4 linked regions of the Saccharomyces cerevisiae S288C genome follow. The gene in region 2 interacts genetically with the main gene of each other region. Each region holds a gene or a part of one and is shown on either strand. Other genes may lie near its edges. The genes, in order: BTS1, KSP1, FMC1 and NNF2.

Region 1 (3,476 bases), on a different chromosome or scaffold from region 2:
TGGGAACAAATCAAAGAGATAATTGAATCGGGGGAGCTTGCCCGTTTGAAACGAAGTCGCCAGATGACTGACAAATACCACGAGCATAAGAAAAGGACTGCTGGCCTGGACATGAACCAGTACGTTTTGCAAAAACTAGGCTGGTCGCTAGACGAACCGCAGCTCGAAAATGCTGCCGCGAAGGCTTTTAGTTCTTCTACTCTATATGCTGTGCGTGCCAACGATTTCCCGTATAACTTCGAGCCTGGTGTTGTACACCTTGTTCTCTGGTCCAAGGTTGCCCTGCCAGTACATTCCCCAGATAAGGCCGTGCGCGAAGCGGCCCGCGCTCGCATGAATGCATTTTTGCAGGCACAGCCGCTACTGCGTCCACTTCTAAGCTCGGGTCACGTGGCCTGGTTTGTCAACTACCCGGAACTACAAAGTGTTGCCCGGATTTTCCACGCTCACGTGCTGCTTTTCTTCCCACGGGAACGCTATTCCGCGGAACAGGTAAAAACGACCGTTGATGATATCCTTTCACACGGTTTCGAGCCACTTGCCTGATAAAGTTTTTTTTTTTTTTTTCAGCATGCCAAAATGCTACATACATTTGTTAATTATGTACTATAACCGATACTGGTATTAATGATGCGATGAGCTGATGAGACAGTAGATAAATAAAAGACGCTTCTACCTACACAAGCACATACAATATAATATGCATATGCAACTCAGGAAAAGAAAAAGGGTTGACTATTCAGGGAGAAATCAGACGTCCGATCCTCCTTCAACCACAACGGCAGCGGTACCATCCATTATTGTCCCTAAGAAGCGTAAAGTAGTCGCACAAAACATGGTTAGTCCAGCTATTCGAGCCACAACCACAACACTGGGCACCTCAAATATAATAATACCTAAGCCTCTGCAGCGCCCTAAATTCCACAATAGCGCCAGCCTATCTTCACCTGATGATGATCCCGAAAAGATCTCTGTATTGGAAGTTCAGAAAAATTTGTCCAATCTCATCAAAAGACAACAAAGATTATTTTATAAAGATATACATAAGCCGACTCTCGCCGGCTTGAAAAATTTCGAAATGTTAAGGCTGCCCAATGATCTAAAACTCCTACAAAACATCGTAAACCTATTATATTCATTCGAGCAATTAAACAGTGACTCGAAGACAAGACCAGTCACTACTTCCAAATTAAAGGCCTCCTCTCAAGCGCACTCAGACAAATTGAAAAAAATGCTAGCTGAGAGGAAACCTCCATTTAGCCACCCCAGTCACAGCGGCACTGCCTACCACAATGACATCATCCATGAGATAGCGAATTTGCATTCTATTAACCTGGTAGATTTGATTAATTTGGAAGTATATAATAACAATTGCCATACAAACAACACAGCGTTGCAAACTACGGCGAATTCGCTGACACTTAATAGCATTATCAAAAAGCTTGACAAGCCAATACTGAAAGAAAGAAATAATTCTCTGGTATGGCCCCATAAAAGCAGATTTAAAGCAAAAAGGAACCAACCTTCGCCTGGCCAATCTTTAATTAACAATACAGATATAACTCTCTACAACGATGTATAGCCGCCATCTCTACTCACTCCATAATATTACATATAGATATAGGACAAGCCCGCATTTTCATACTGAAAGGTAAACTTCTATTATTATAGTGGTATCCAACGTTCACCGCTTCCAGCATAGCAGAAATTACGTGTTTTTGCATATGTTATGCTGATCATTGTATGCTTACTACCATTTTTCTTTGCTTCGCCTTGCCTTCTTTGACGTTTTTTTGAAGCAAAAAAAAAGTCAAGACAGATGTGCTTACAAAACCATGTAAGGCTCATTTTCAAAGAAGCTACTAATAGAAAGAGAACAAAGCGTTTACGAGTCTGGAAAATCAATGGAGGCCAAGATAGATGAGCTGATCAATAATGATCCTGTTTGGTCCAGCCAAAATGAAAGCTTGATTTCAAAACCTTATAATCACATCCTTTTGAAACCTGGCAAGAACTTTAGACTAAATTTAATAGTTCAAATTAACAGAGTTATGAATTTGCCCAAAGACCAGCTGGCCATAGTTTCGCAAATTGTTGAGCTCTTGCATAATTCCAGCCTTTTAATCGACGATATAGAAGATAATGCTCCCTTGAGAAGGGGACAGACCACTTCTCACTTAATCTTCGGTGTACCCTCCACTATAAACACCGCAAATTATATGTATTTCAGAGCCATGCAACTTGTATCGCAGCTAACCACAAAAGAGCCTTTGTATCATAATTTGATTACGATTTTCAACGAAGAATTGATCAATCTACATAGGGGACAAGGCTTGGATATATACTGGAGAGACTTTCTGCCTGAAATCATACCTACTCAGGAGATGTATTTGAATATGGTTATGAATAAAACAGGCGGCCTTTTCAGATTAACGTTGAGACTCATGGAAGCGCTGTCTCCTTCCTCACACCACGGCCATTCGTTGGTTCCTTTCATAAATCTTCTGGGTATTATTTATCAGATTAGAGATGATTACTTGAATTTGAAAGATTTCCAAATGTCCAGCGAAAAAGGCTTTGCTGAGGACATTACAGAGGGGAAGTTATCTTTTCCCATCGTCCACGCCCTTAACTTCACTAAAACGAAAGGTCAAACTGAGCAACACAATGAAATTCTAAGAATTCTCCTGTTGAGGACAAGTGATAAAGATATAAAACTAAAGCTGATTCAAATACTGGAATTCGACACCAATTCATTGGCCTACACCAAAAATTTTATTAATCAATTAGTGAATATGATAAAAAATGATAATGAAAATAAGTATTTACCTGATTTGGCTTCGCATTCCGACACCGCCACCAATTTACATGACGAATTGTTATATATAATAGACCACTTATCCGAATTGTGAAATAAATTGATCAATCAAATTAGTGGAGGAAGATAGTCAGAAATAAAGCCTTCTCTCCTCCTCTTTCGCATCTATACATACGATTTCATATATACGTTTCATTGCATCATCTTTTGATATATCTCAAAAAGATCTCTTAGTTCGCAAATAGTCAAATCTTCAAATTTATAGCCTTTATATTTTTTCCACGATTTCTGAAACTCCTTTTTATCAGCACCGTTAATGCTAGCGGTTACTGTCAAATCGCCGGTAAATTCGCGATTTCCGTGCTCTAAAGATGCTGAAGATCGTGAAGATGATGAAGTTGATCGTGAGCCATCCCTAGACATCTCTGTTGTATCTCTATTGCTCAATTCCATGGATAATTGAGACGAACTTCGTGGTATGTTTAAGTTGTTGCTACTGTGAAGGTTATTATTGCTAGTATTGTTAGGATGTGGTGGAGTATATGACCTAATTTTTCCGATGATATTTTTTAATGATGAATCAAAAACGGTCCTGAAGCCATCATACGAATTCGATCTTGTAACATCTGGCCTTTGGATAGTAGGAGTCACGATGTCA
Region 2 (5,633 bases):
CCTTAACGTTCGTTATACAAAGAATGTAACTTGCAATTTTCAGATGTAAGTAAGTGGGTTGCCCGTCGCTTTTCAACATATCTTTTAAACCTAAAAGAACTTGCTTGCTATTCTCGAACAAAACGTTCAAGACCTGCTCTTGATTAACGGAGTTGTGATGGTTGTGATAAACTCCTTGCATACTCTTGACGATTTCTCGATGGCGGAACTGGAACTTGTTCCGCTTTGTTAGGGATATCTTCAAACTCTTTGCGGACAACTTCTGTAATAAAGAGTTTTCTACGTCCAATGGAGTGACTATCGAACCACTTAACTTCTGGCAAGAGTACAATTCCATGAATTGCGCATCTGAGGCACAGAAAATTATTTGCGTGATCCAACAATCGTACAGCACGGTATCCAGCAACGTATAGTACATCAACTGCTCAGCATCATCAAGTATCCGAGACCTCATAATTTCGCTGATTGCCACGGTGGATCTTATAATTCTCTTCTTGTAACCCTCAACTAGAATAGGTAGGGCCTCATCGGGGTTAGAAAGACGGGACAGAACGAGCATTTCATGGTTACAGGTATGCGATGGGGTTTGTTCCTGCGAGTGCGTGGGTAAGACTAGACCATTCTTTTGACACAGCGCAAGCTGAACAAACAGACACCATGGATCTGTGGCCAATGCCGCCCCTGTATTTGCCTCCAAAAAAACGTTGTAAACACCTAGCTTGTACGTCCCCTCCACAGTCAACTCAGAGCTTCCACCACCGCGTTCTGTGAATGTGTAGGACCTCCGCTGTATTTCTAATGCAACGGCCTCGTCCTTGTCAGTCTGCGCAGCATATGTTTGTAACGGAAATGTGTCAAATATCCGTTTTACTGGCATGGGAACACTGAATGAACTTACCATTGTGCACGATGGCTTCGTTTTAGCCCTATATGAGACGACATACAAGAGGCCTTCACACCATTTATTTCAGCATTCACTTCTAAATATCGTCCCGTTACCCTCATCGCTACTGCCGGGCGTTCCCAACCCCTTCCGAGGCAGATTATATTTATTTATCTTTTTAACAATTTGTCCCTATATAGGCGGGCCGAACACAGCACGTGAAAGAACTCTCAGGCTTCCACAACAGGCCATATCAAGTCCACACTTCCCTCATTACTAGCATTTTTACACAAGCAGTCCACGCATTCCGCAACAGTGTTCACCTTTCTTTTCCCTAACTTATCTTATTATTTGTTTGTTGATCGCAAACAGACCCTTTTTTTTGGTGAGCGCATTTTACACAGTCTCAAGTGTCCTCTACTATAAAAATACAACCTCAAACAGTACTTACTGGCGTCCGCAGAATATTACTGCACTCTCAATCTGTAAAGAATATAACAAGTGACCCATTCCCTTGTTTTATTCAACTTCGAAATCTCTCTGGCTATCTTTGCATGCTTATCTAACTTTCACGTGACCCGGATATTGTTCTCTGCTCAAAAAAGAACTGCAAAGAAGGAAATAGAAAAATAGCATACAGGCTCAAAGCTATAGTTTTCTGAAAAGGGACACCACGAATACAGTAGTATCAAAGAGAAAAAAGACTTCTTTATACTTACAGAAGGTTCATTTTCTGATTCTACTCTTCCAATCTAGTGTCGCAAAAAAACAAAACTTACTGGTATTAGCTGGCAAAAAAAAAAAGAATAGGTTATAATTAAAGACATCTTTTCTCTATAAATTTTTTCTTAGAAGAAAAAGCCAAAAAAAAAAAACCTGCTTCATACCCGCCATCAAATCTTATAGGCCTTATAGACTGCATATTACCGGATTCTTTCTCTCCGTTAACCCTACTATTCTTTCACTATACTTTAACCTAAAATAAAAAAGGAAAAAAAAAATTAAAAACTTCCAAAAACTTAGAAATTTCAAATACAAAACAAAAAGACACGTAAAGTTAGTGCAATATTTTTTTCTTACAATTTTTTGAAACTCGATGACTTTAGATTACGAGATTTACAAAGAAGGAGGTATTTTGAATAATCGATATCAAAAAATAGAGGATATCAGTGAAGGTTCATATGGTTATGTATCATTGGCTAAAGATGTTAGAGAGAAAAGATTGGTTGCAGTCAAATACATTTTCAAATTAGAAGATGACGGCCAGTACGATGGGCCTCAGGACGACGAAAATGATTGTGATAGTAGCGATTGTGATGATGATGAAGACACGAAAGTTGATACGGATCGCCATGAAAATGAAAATGGTAATGCCTCCAGTAATAACGGGTCAAGTAGAGAGAAGAAACACAATCTCTACAAACACAAAAAGTCCCTAATTTCTTCGAAAGTTAAATCAAGACTATCTAATAACATTTGTCTCGAAGCCATGTATGAAGTTGATATTCAAACAAAAATTGGTAGACACCAAAATATTGCTGCTCTATTAGATTTCTTCGACTCTTACATCATCATGGAATATTGCTCTGGCGGTGACCTATATGAGGCGATCAAAGCCGATGCTGTGCCTAAGAAAACCAAATCGATCACTCATATTATCACACAAATCATGGATGCAATTGAATATGTTCATAACAAGGGCATTTATCATCGTGATATAAAACCTGAGAACATTTTAATTTCTGGAATTGATTGGACAATTAAGCTTACAGATTGGGGATTGGCTACTACAGATAAGACGTCTATGGATAGAAATGTCGGTAGTGAAAGATATATGTCCCCTGAACTTTTTGATAGTAATTTGGATATCAAGGAAAGAAAGGAACCTTATGACTGTGCCAAAGTGGATTTATGGGCTATGGGAATTGTGTTTCTTAATATTGTTTTCCATAAGAATCCTTTTAGTATTGCCAATCAATCCGACAAGTCATTCTGTTATTTTGCTGCTAATAGAGAAGCGTTGTTTGATGTATTTTCGACAATGGCTTATGATTTCTTTCAAGTATTAAGGTATAGTTTAACCATCGATCCGGCTAATAGAGACTTGAAAATGATGAGAACTGAACTACAGAACTTATCTGAGTATACATTAGACGATGAATACTATAATAACTTGGATGAAGGATATGAAGAAACTATGATTGACGGTTTGCCACCTCAGCCTGTTCCTCCATCTTCAGCACCGGTATCATTACCTACTCCTATTTCATCTAGTAACAAACAACATATGCCTGAATTTAAAAAGGATTTCAATTTCAATAATGTGAATGAAAGGAAACGGTCAGATGTCTCTCAAAATCAAAATGTTGCAAGCGGCTTCTTTAAAAAACCGTCTACACAACAACAGAAATTTTTCAACCAGGGTTATAATACAACACTATCTACTCATGAAAGGGCTAAATCTGCTCCTAAGTTCAAATTTAAGAAGCGCAATAAGTACGGAAGAACTGATAATCAATTTTCCAAACCAGTCAATATCGAAGATAGAAAGAAAAGTAAAATTTTGAAAAAATCAAGGAAGCCTCTTGGCATACCAACGCCTAATACACACATGAATAATTTTTTCCACGATTACAAAGCAAGGGATGAATTCAACACCAGAGATTTTTTCACTCCTCCAAGTGTCCAGCACAGGTATATGGAGGGGTTTTCCAACAACAACAATAAACAGTACAGACAGAATCGTAATTACAACAATAATAACAACAACAGCAATAACAATCATGGAAGTAATTATAATAATTTTAACAATGGTAATAGCTATATAAAGGGTTGGAACAAAAACTTTAACAAATACAGAAGACCAAGTTCCTCCAGTTATACCGGTAAGTCACCACTTTCAAGGTACAACATGAGCTATAATCATAACAACAATAGTTCTATAAATGGTTATGCAAGGCGTGGTTCTACGACTACAGTTCAACATTCACCAGGCGCTTATATTCCACCAAATGCCAGGAACCATCACGTAAGCCCAACGAATCAGTTTTTAAGAGTTCCGCAATCAACTGCTCCTGATATCTCTACCGTTTTAGGTGGGAAGCCTTCATACCAGGAACACTACACTCAGGATAGTATGGATTCTGAGGGCGATCACGATTCAGACGACGTTTTATTCACTCTTGAAGAAGGTGATCATGATTTCGTCAATGGTATGGACAACTTATCTATAAATGATCACTTACCGCATACAACGGTAGGTAGCCATAATGAAGTATTTGTTCACGCAAGCACTAATCACAATAACAATGGCAACAACAACCATATCGACACCAATAGTACCACTAATCAATATCATAGACAATATATTCCACCTCCTTTGACAACATCATTGCATATCAACAATAACAATAATGAATCTAATGAACTACCAGATTTACTAAAATCACCAGCATCATCTGAAGCACATTTAAATTTATCTTCTGGACCAATTGATCCAATTTTAACAGGTAATATTGGCAATCGATATTCACACTCATCTGACTCTAAGGAGCTAGAGCAGGAGCGTAGACTCAGTATGGAACAAAAATTTAAAAATGGGGTTTATGTTCCACCTCATCATAGGAAGAGTTTCAACTTGGGAACACAGGTACCTCCTATGAATATGAAGACAAGTAACGAGGCCACGTTGTCAGTTTCGCATAATTCTGTTAATTTTGGTGGATCTTACAATTCCAGGCGTTCCAGTGCTAATGAATCTAACCCACTGCATATGAATAAAGCACTCGAGAAGTTGTCCTCTTCACCAGGAGCTAAAAGCTCCTTCGTTGGCTTCCCTAAACCTTTATTACCTCGTAATCATTCAAGCACTACGATTGCGTTGCAAAATGAAGACGTATTCGCAGACTCTAACAATGACGCCATAATTTTCGAAGACGAAGAATACGAAGGAGAAAGTGACAAGATGGCACATGGCAAAATGGAAGGTGGTGACAACGAATCCTCGTCAACCTCCCCGGATGAAAGGCAAATTTTCGGTCCTTATGAAATTTATGCTCAAACTTTCGCTGGCTCCACTCACGATAAAAAATTAGGAGCTGGCAGGAAGACAAGTATTCAGGATGAAATGGTCGGATCGTTAGAACAATACAAGAATAATTGGTTAATTTTACAGCAACAAGACTAAGCGCACCTATTCCCTCTGTTATGTTGCTTATTATTTTCTTCCCTTCTGAAATGCATTTTTAGCTTTTTTCATCAATTTGGCATCATCGTGCATTTCAACTTCTAAGTATGAATGCTTTTTGGTAGTTAAGCTTGAAGGGTTTTATGAAAACTCTCTTTTCTTAGATATTTCTACAGTCTTATATAACGTCAATTCACACAAAAGTGTTCACTGCCAACTACAAGAATAGCATATACACATATTAGTTACTTCAACGAGTTCTTATTGTTATTATAAAAGTATATAAACCCTATAAGCATTTTTGCATTTGTGCTCTCACATCACCTTTAATCATTTTTTCACTCATGTACCAGTATACGTCGACCTCTACTTCTTCCCTCCTTTCTTTTTTCCAACTTTATCCAATCTTTTACTTTTCTTACTACTTGCTTTCCTTATATGATCGGTACTGTCAATAATCTTAGTCGTTGTACTCTCTGCCAGTTCATCGTTTTCAAATTTCGTATGCTTCCCTTGAAAGTTGCTCCTGCTTATAGAGGGCTCGAATTGGTTTTTATTACCGTC
Region 3 (2,930 bases), on a different chromosome or scaffold from region 2:
GAGGACGTATATGATGGATATGGCTTTGGCGAGGGAAATCCCTGGGTCCTGGCCACGTGTACCGCTTCAACAACGCTTTATCAGCTCATTTACAGACACATCTCTGAGCAGCATGACTTGGTTGTCCCAATGAACAACGATTGTTCGAACGCATTTTGGAGCGAGCTGGTATTCTCCAACCTCACGACTTTGGGAAATGACGAAGGCTATTTGATTTTGGAGTTCAATACACCTGCCTTCAATCAAACCATACAAAAAATCTTCCAACTAGCTGATTCATTCTTGGTCAAGCTGAAAGCTCACGTGGGAACAGACGGGGAACTAAGTGAACAATTTAACAAATACACAGGGTTTATGCAGGGTGCCCAACACCTTACCTGGTCCTATACTTCATTCTGGGATGCCTATCAAATAAGACAAGAAGTTTTACAGAGTTTGTAGACAAAAAAAAAAATAAAAGGAAAGCGAGAAGTATACACAAGTGTATTTCCTAGATATTTACATCAAATATATATATATACTTATTTACAAAACTCTGATATTATAAATTGATTAGATACTATGTCGGAACGTCCAGCCCAACCACGTTTGCAGTTCTTTTCACTTTCTCATCCTGTGTCAACTTGTTGCCAGGATTGTATCTGTCGACCAGCTCCTCGTATTCTCTTTGGTTGTCCAAGAACTTGATGATGTCCAAAGCGTGTTCGAATATCTCGTCAACGTTTTGTCCCTGGGCCACCTTTTTCTCCCACTTTATATCGTTTTGTAATATGGAACGTAATGACTTAGAGTCGGCTATAAACAAATTCAAAGATCTGTCGCTTACCGGATCTAGTTTTTTCCATTTCTCTAACTGTCTGTTGATGTTCTCATGCGAGTCTCTCTGATTTTGTTTCTTAGCATATTCCAACTTTGTTATCATTGCCTTTCGTAGATTGCCCCAATTGACTATCTTGCTTGGCCTTTCATATTTCAGAATGGCTCTTATGAGTCCTCTATATGTGCGTAATGTTCTTGGTCTATCCATTTCCCTGGCACTCTCTCTTTCTCTCTCTTTTCAGCTTTTTGTTATCCACTTATCGCTGCAAATGAAACTCTAGTGCAATTTGAGATATTCACTTTTTGCAAAGGCGAAGAGAAGGGGGTGGTTAAATCTACAATTTCATACATAAAACAGAGAAAATGATTATAAATTATAGGAAAGTAGGTAAGCCATGGCAGAGAAATCAATATTTAATGAGCCTGATGTGGATTTCCATTTGAAATTAAATCAACAATTATTTCATATTCCTTATGAACTACTGTCCAAACGTATCAAGCATACTCAAGCGGTAATTAATAAGGAAACCAAATCACTACATGAACACACGGCCGCATTAAATCAAATATTTGAACATAATGACGTTGAGCACGACGAGTTGGCACTAGCAAAAATAACTGAAATGATTAGGAAAGTTGACCATATAGAAAGATTTTTAAATACGCAAATCAAGTCCTACTGTCAGATTTTGAACAGAATTAAAAAAAGGCTGGAGTTTTTCCACGAACTGAAGGACATCAAGTCACAAAATTCAGGAACATCGCACAATGGAAATAATGAGGGTACCAGGACTAAATTGATACAGTGGTATCAGAGTTATACAAACATTTTAATTGGTGATTATCTGACGAGGAATAACCCGATTAAATACAACTCGGAGACAAAGGATCATTGGAACTCTGGCGTAGTGTTTTTGAAACAGAGCCAACTGGATGATCTCATTGATTATGATGTCCTCTTGGAGGCTAATAGAATTTCGACTTCGTTACTACATGAGCGTAATCTCTTACCCCTAATTTCATGGATAAACGAGAACAAAAAGACACTGACCAAAAAGTCCTCTATATTAGAGTTTCAAGCAAGATTGCAAGAATATATTGAACTACTAAAGGTGGATAACTATACCGACGCTATAGTATGTTTTCAAAGATTCCTTTTACCATTCGTTAAGAGCAACTTCACCGATTTAAAATTAGCATCTGGACTTCTGATTTTTATCAAATACTGTAATGATCAAAAGCCAACTTCTTCTACCAGCTCTGGATTCGATACTGAAGAGATTAAGTCTCAAAGTTTACCAATGAAGAAAGATCGAATATTTCAACATTTTTTTCACAAATCTTTACCTAGAATTACCTCCAAACCTGCGGTGAATACAACAGACTATGACAAGAGTTCCTTAATAAATTTACAAAGTGGAGATTTCGAAAGATATCTGAATTTATTAGATGATCAAAGATGGTCGGTATTAAATGATTTATTCTTGAGCGACTTTTATTCCATGTATGGCATATCACAAAATGACCCTTTATTGATATACCTGTCACTAGGTATATCGTCTTTGAAGACAAGAGATTGCCTGCACCCTTCTGACGATGAAAATGGAAATCAAGAGACGGAAACTGCCACAACAGCAGAGAAAGAAGTTGAAGATTTACAACTCTTTACGCTACATTCACTAAAAAGGAAAAATTGTCCCGTTTGCAGTGAGACTTTCAAACCAATAACACAGGCATTACCATTTGCTCATCACATTCAGTCTCAATTATTTGAAAATCCAATACTATTACCAAATGGAAATGTTTACGACAGTAAAAAATTGAAGAAATTGGCCAAAACATTGAAAAAGCAAAACTTAATTTCTTTAAATCCAGGTCAAATTATGGATCCAGTTGACATGAAAATATTTTGCGAATCAGATTCTATCAAAATGTACCCAACCTGAAATAGTTTCAAGCTATATGCATTTTTTTATATAAAGATTTGTCCAACTTTCACAACTATTTTACAGATACTTACGCTATATAAGAATTAGGGAAAATGAAAGTTCTTTCATCAACATGGCGACATTCTTCCTTCTGTACTTAGTCTGAATCAGAATCTGTGTCTT
Region 4 (5,146 bases), on a different chromosome or scaffold from region 2:
TTTCCATGAACTTAGTATAAATTATAGAATATTAGTTTTCGTAGCTTGTAATGTATTTGAATTGGAACCATCTAATTGTTATCTGCCATTTTAGTATTTTGGACAAGCTCCAAATATGTGGTCCTAAGTTCATATCGAGGATACAGATTATTTGGGCCGTATCTTTGATGTCATGGAGAGTAGTGTGGCCTTCCAAGTCCTGGGGCAGCTATTAATTAGGGAATGTTTTGATCAACAACTTAGTGTTAATAGTAGACACAACGATGTGAACTGTTCAATACATCAGCAAACATTCTTAGTTTTTCTCATATTTTATGTTTACTTATGTTAACCTGCATTATTTCCATAAATAACAAAAGGCAAAAAAGTAACAAATGAAGTTATTAGGAAACAATAAAAAAACAATATCGAGAAAAAAACGACTGACTACATTTAAAGTAGAACGTCCAAGTAATAAATACATGTATATATTCAATAGAAGTAAATTTTAGGATGCTACAAAACGAATTCTTATCTATCTTTGTTTTCTAATCTTCCATCAGTAACTATTACCAATTAGACTATGTATATTTTCATTCTCATTTTCTAATCTGTTGATATCTTGCTCTAACCCCTTTATAGTCAATTCAAATTTATTGGCTTCGCGTATCCTGTACTCCTTTCTTCTAAATCTATCCTTTTCTCTTTTACTCAAAAATTGAGTACTGAACTTTTCTATCTCTTCTGCGTTCTGATCGACCTCCTTTTGTAACTTCTCGTTTCTCGCGTTCAATTTGTCCAGTTTAGAGCCTAGTTGAACTAATTCTTGATTGACCTTTTGGAACCTCCCTTCTGAGTTTTTCAGGTCTTTCGATAAGCTTTCTTCTAACTTACTGAACTCTAATTGATTTTTCAAGTGTAGATCTTTCTTTTTCAAGTATTCCTCTTCTAATTCAAGCTCTTTTTCAGTGAGAGTTTTCAATTGCATCTCTAACTTATTTACCGCAGTCTCACTTTGCTGTAGGGCAACCTTCAAATTTTCGACTTTTAAAGTGCTCTTTTCGTCATGTGTTGCGTTCTGTGAAATCCTGCCTTTAAAATAATCAATTTCTTGTCTCAAAAGACTTAACTTCTTGCTGAATTCCTTTTTTGTCTTTTTCAATTTTGTCCTTTCATCGGACAAATTTGCGTTTGTAGTTAGCACGGAATGCTTCAGAGTTAGCAACGGAGATAAGAATTTCCTATGGTAGTATGAAGGGAAGCTGAAATCAAGGTTTTCAAATTTTCCGGCAATCGCATTGTTATTCCCACAAGTCCTTACAATTAAATCAGAAACCAAATAATCATCTCGGTGATTTAGTCTGTTGATGAATTGAATATCATAAGAACAAGAAGGGACTAATCCGTTAACGACAACGTATTCTTCGCCTACATGCTCTAAAATTAAAGCGCAAGAAACTTCTGACCAGATAACACCGTTTACTAAAACAATGAGTTCGCCATCATGTAAATTTTCAATATGGAATGTAATAGAGTTTGTGCTAATATCAATAATGCAAACTTTGTAGTCATTATCATTTCTATTGAAAATATTTTCATTGGTGGAAACTAAATTTAAAAGATTGTAGTCATCAGATGTTGTCTTTGCAATCAGGGCCATAGTATTTGAAGGTTCGAAATTGTTAAACACGCTCTTCTTAAACTTTCCGGCATGGGTGAAACTAATTCTTGATGAAACTGAATGTGTATTAATCGTGTCCAAATCTTTGTCATGTTTTTCCTGATTACTGACGTATGAAGTATTCGAATTTGTTGGTGTTAGTGAATTTTCAGAGGTTTCTTGTAAGTATTTTTTTTCAAAATTCGTTGTTTTTAATGTAACTACCATAGACCAAAGAGGTGCAATCAAGTGTTGATTCTTTCTTCTGAATAGAAGACGGATAAAATTTTCCAAGTTTGATGTAACAGATATGTCTGAAGATAATTTGCTAGAAGAAAACATGTTCCCAAAATCAACATTCAGTTCAAACAGTTGGTTAGTATACTTGTCATTGGAAGGGGAAAAGAAATCAGAATCCTTTTTCGAATTTCCATTCGAGGAATCAGATAGAGAGATTTCATTTGACAAACTAGTGTTATCACCAGAAAAGTTGAACGTTGTAGGAGAGGTTGTTGTACTGGTAGTAGTAGTAACGGCTTGAGAATTGCTTCCTTCAGCAGAGATTACCGATGGCTGATATGACTTATATTCCTTGACCATAGAAGTGAAATAGGGAAAACTAGAAGTAGCATCAGTAGGATAAGAGGCGGCAGGGTTCAAAATATTACTGTGTGATGATAGGGGAACTGGCGAGTTATTTTGTTGGGATGGATGGATAGTTTGATTGCTGCTGCTAAGTCCACCTGGATCGTTCGGTATCATAGGACTTTGGTCCTCTAAAGTGTTCGAATCGGCAGAAACGGAAGAAGAAGAAGAAATTCTCATCTTTTGCAGACCTTGAACACGGGCTACATCTGGTTTAGTTGAATTGAAACCCTTTTTCAATGGCTTGTTTTCCGCTGTTTGTCTATGAGGGTGTAATAAACTTGAAGCAAATGAGAAAAAAAGGATGTGAAAGGATAGATAATAAATCATACTGTCTGAATGTTTGCCAAGCATCTTGAAAGGCATTGGCAAAAATAGAGAGAAAAGCTTTTTGAAAAACTGTGAATACTTGCGAAAAACCGTGAATAATTTAATTGATTGGCCGGTTCCTCGTAAAGACATATCAAATAACTGTATAATGTCAAAGAAGTGTGACACTCTTTGAAAAGTGTTAGTTGACACAGCATACAATACTGAGCATGAAGTTGCATAGCTTAAGCAATCGCTTGGATCATTGATCAAAAATGAGGCAATAATAGAAATTGCCAGATTTTTTATTGGCTTAACAAAATAATCGCCACCGTAAATCTTTAGTAACATTGCAAATAAAATTTCACAAATTAATACGGGGATCGGAATGACGAAGCTATTTTTTGAATTGCCAAAAAATCGTGAATTAGATTTTCGGTTTGAACTACCATTGGTCACTTTGGAAGTACTTATATCTATGTGCGCCACTTCACCGATATGGCGGGAAGGTTTTTTCGATAGGAAAAGTATAATAAAACAATTTGCCAGAAAATCTTTGCATTTGGTAGCAACAATAAAGGAAACCAATAAACATAGGGAAGTGAAGTGGTTAAAACTCAAAAAAACCAGGAACAATGCAAGCGTATCTTTAAACCTATGTTTTTTGGCAAATTCGGTGGGCTGTTCACTCCTTTTAGTGTTCATTAATGACTGTAGATGTGATACTTTCTTCTGATTAGTAAATTGTTCCTCCATGAAAATTGTGCATGGATCCTTTTATGTAACGGAGATAGGTGGAATCTTAAAAAATATTGGGGTGTATATGAATAAAAGTTATTCAGAGTGATTACCTAAAGAGATGGTACGAAAAATGTGGAGATAGAAAACAAAAAACTTTGGTAAGATATTATTATAACAGAAAGAATTTAAAGTTTTCTCTGCTGGTACTCTGTATAATCCTCTTAGTCCTAATAAAATTTGTTTATTCCTCTTTTAATAGAAACTAACGAGTTGTGAAAACCTAGTTATGTTACTTGTTATATTACACCTTCAAGAGGTTTAGGAATTCAACGTTATAAACACACAACTGCATAAGTTAGGCTACTTTTTTTTTTCAGATTGTCCGTATAATGCGATAATCGTTGAGTTCATGCCGATCTAAGTACCGAATTAGAAAAAAATGTGTCAAAAGTAGGCAGCCAATCTGTTTTGCTGCCATATTTTTCCTAACAGGATTTGCTATGTATGAAGTACGATAAGTATGAAATATTAGTGCTTGTACATACGACCAATTTGTAATAACTAGTGATGTAGAGAATAAACTTAAAGAAAACTTATGAATAAATAATTATGGAGATATAATTACGAATAATTATGAATAAATAGTGCTGCCTTAATTGGCACTTGCAATGGACCAAGTCTTGGCATAACCTTCAAGGTCAACAGGTTCCCAAGGAACTCCCAAGCATTCTGCAATGACTTTACCCAAATCTTCGTTTAGCAAACCAAAGTATTGCGTAACTCTCTTTTTGACTTTAGGATCTTTGATCTTACAAGCGTGGCAAACAACGTTATGAACGAATAATTTCTTCTGTTCATCGTTGTATACCTTTTCATATAGAGCTCTTGGCTGTTCGAAGTCTAGTGGACTAATACCATAAACGTAGTAATATTGATTAATTTTGGCATCAACAATATGCTCGTTTCTGATTTGGTCTTGTTCCTGTTTTCTCACAGAAACTTCTGTTACTTCGTCAAGAACTATCCCTTTGAACTTATCAGATACTTCGTCGTTGTCTTCATTTTTGAATTTCAGAGTTTGATTTGGTAAACTGGAAATATAATTTGGCTCAGGACCGAAATTGTAGTAACTCATTGGGCCGTCCCTTTGGAAGTTCACTGCTTTAAATGGACACTGTTCGGCAGTGTATTGGGAATCACCTTTGGAGTATGGACATCCCAAGTTTCTTGGTCTGTTGACGGGCAATTGCTGATAGTTGGCTCCCAATCTATGACGTTGAGTGTCTGGATAGGAGAAAAGTCTGGCTTGTAGAACGGAATCATTAGAAGGCTTAATACCTGGGATACAAGTGTTCGTTGGACTGAATGCAACTTGTTCAATTTCTTGGAAATAATTGTCAACATTCTCCGTTAGGGTGATGGTACCAAATTTTCTCAAAGGGAATTCCTTGTGTGGCCATATTTTCGTTAGGTCATTTACCGAATACCTGAACTTAGTTGCTTGTTCGGGTGTCATTGTTTGCACATAACAGTTAAATTTTGGCTTTTCGCCATTTTGCAATTGAGTGAACAGCTTTGCCTGATTATAATCAGGGTGGGAGCCTGACAGTTCAGCAGCCTTATCTCCAGTCAAGGTTTCAAAACCAGTATCCGACAAGACGTGGAATTGCACATATGTGTCCTTACCTTCTTTGTTGACCATGATGAAGGAATGACCAGAGTACGCGTTCATACTAGCCCACGAAGCAGGAGTACCTCTATCACCAAACATGTAAGTTATTTGATGGATTGATTCCGGATTCAATGTTAGAT

Evidence for each region.
Region 1: mutations in KSP1 (region 2) and BTS1 together harm fitness more than expected from each alone (negative genetic interaction), as found in Saccharomyces cerevisiae (3 studies listed by BioGRID).
Region 3: mutations in KSP1 (region 2) and FMC1 together harm fitness more than expected from each alone (negative genetic interaction), as found in Saccharomyces cerevisiae (2 studies listed by BioGRID).
Region 4: mutations in KSP1 (region 2) and NNF2 together harm fitness more than expected from each alone (negative genetic interaction), as found in Saccharomyces cerevisiae (2 studies listed by BioGRID).

Annotation. Positions count from the first base shown.
Region 1 is NC_001148.4:422,321-425,796, reverse strand, and holds BTS1 (farnesyltranstransferase), read left to right. Parts: upstream 1-1,904; coding exon 1,905-2,912; downstream 2,913-3,476. Other genes in the region: HTC1 (Htc1p), read left to right, coding at 1-546; YPL068C (uncharacterized protein), read left to right, coding at 701-1,582; guanine nucleotide exchange factor MUK1, read right to left, coding at 3,011-3,476. UniProt on the Saccharomyces cerevisiae protein: Catalyzes the trans-addition of the 3 molecules of IPP onto DMAPP to form geranylgeranyl pyrophosphate. Required for the membrane attachment of YPT1 and SEC4. May be involved in vesicle trafficking and protein sorting.
Region 2 is NC_001140.6:267,895-273,527, reverse strand, and holds KSP1 (putative serine/threonine protein kinase KSP1), read left to right. Parts: upstream 1-1,979; coding exon 1,980-5,069; downstream 5,070-5,633. Other genes in the region: SAM complex subunit SAM35, read right to left, coding at 1-901; LRP1 (Lrp1p), read right to left, coding at 5,436-5,633. UniProt on the Saccharomyces cerevisiae protein: May act on PRP20.
Region 3 is NC_001141.2:179,213-182,142, forward strand, and holds FMC1 (Fmc1p), read right to left. Parts: upstream 1,028-2,930; coding exon 560-1,027; downstream 1-559. Other genes in the region: SGA1 (glucan 1,4-alpha-glucosidase), read left to right, coding at 1-441; glucose-induced degradation complex subunit FYV10, read left to right, coding at 1,215-2,765; BMT5 (25S rRNA (uracil2634-N3)-methyltransferase), read right to left, coding at 2,905-2,930. UniProt on the Saccharomyces cerevisiae protein: Needed for the assembly of the mitochondrial F1-F0 complex at high temperature.
Region 4 is NC_001139.9:655,163-660,308, reverse strand, and holds NNF2 (Nnf2p), read right to left. Parts: upstream 3,350-5,146; coding exon 539-3,349; downstream 1-538. Other genes in the region: CTT1 (catalase T), read right to left, coding at 3,987-5,146.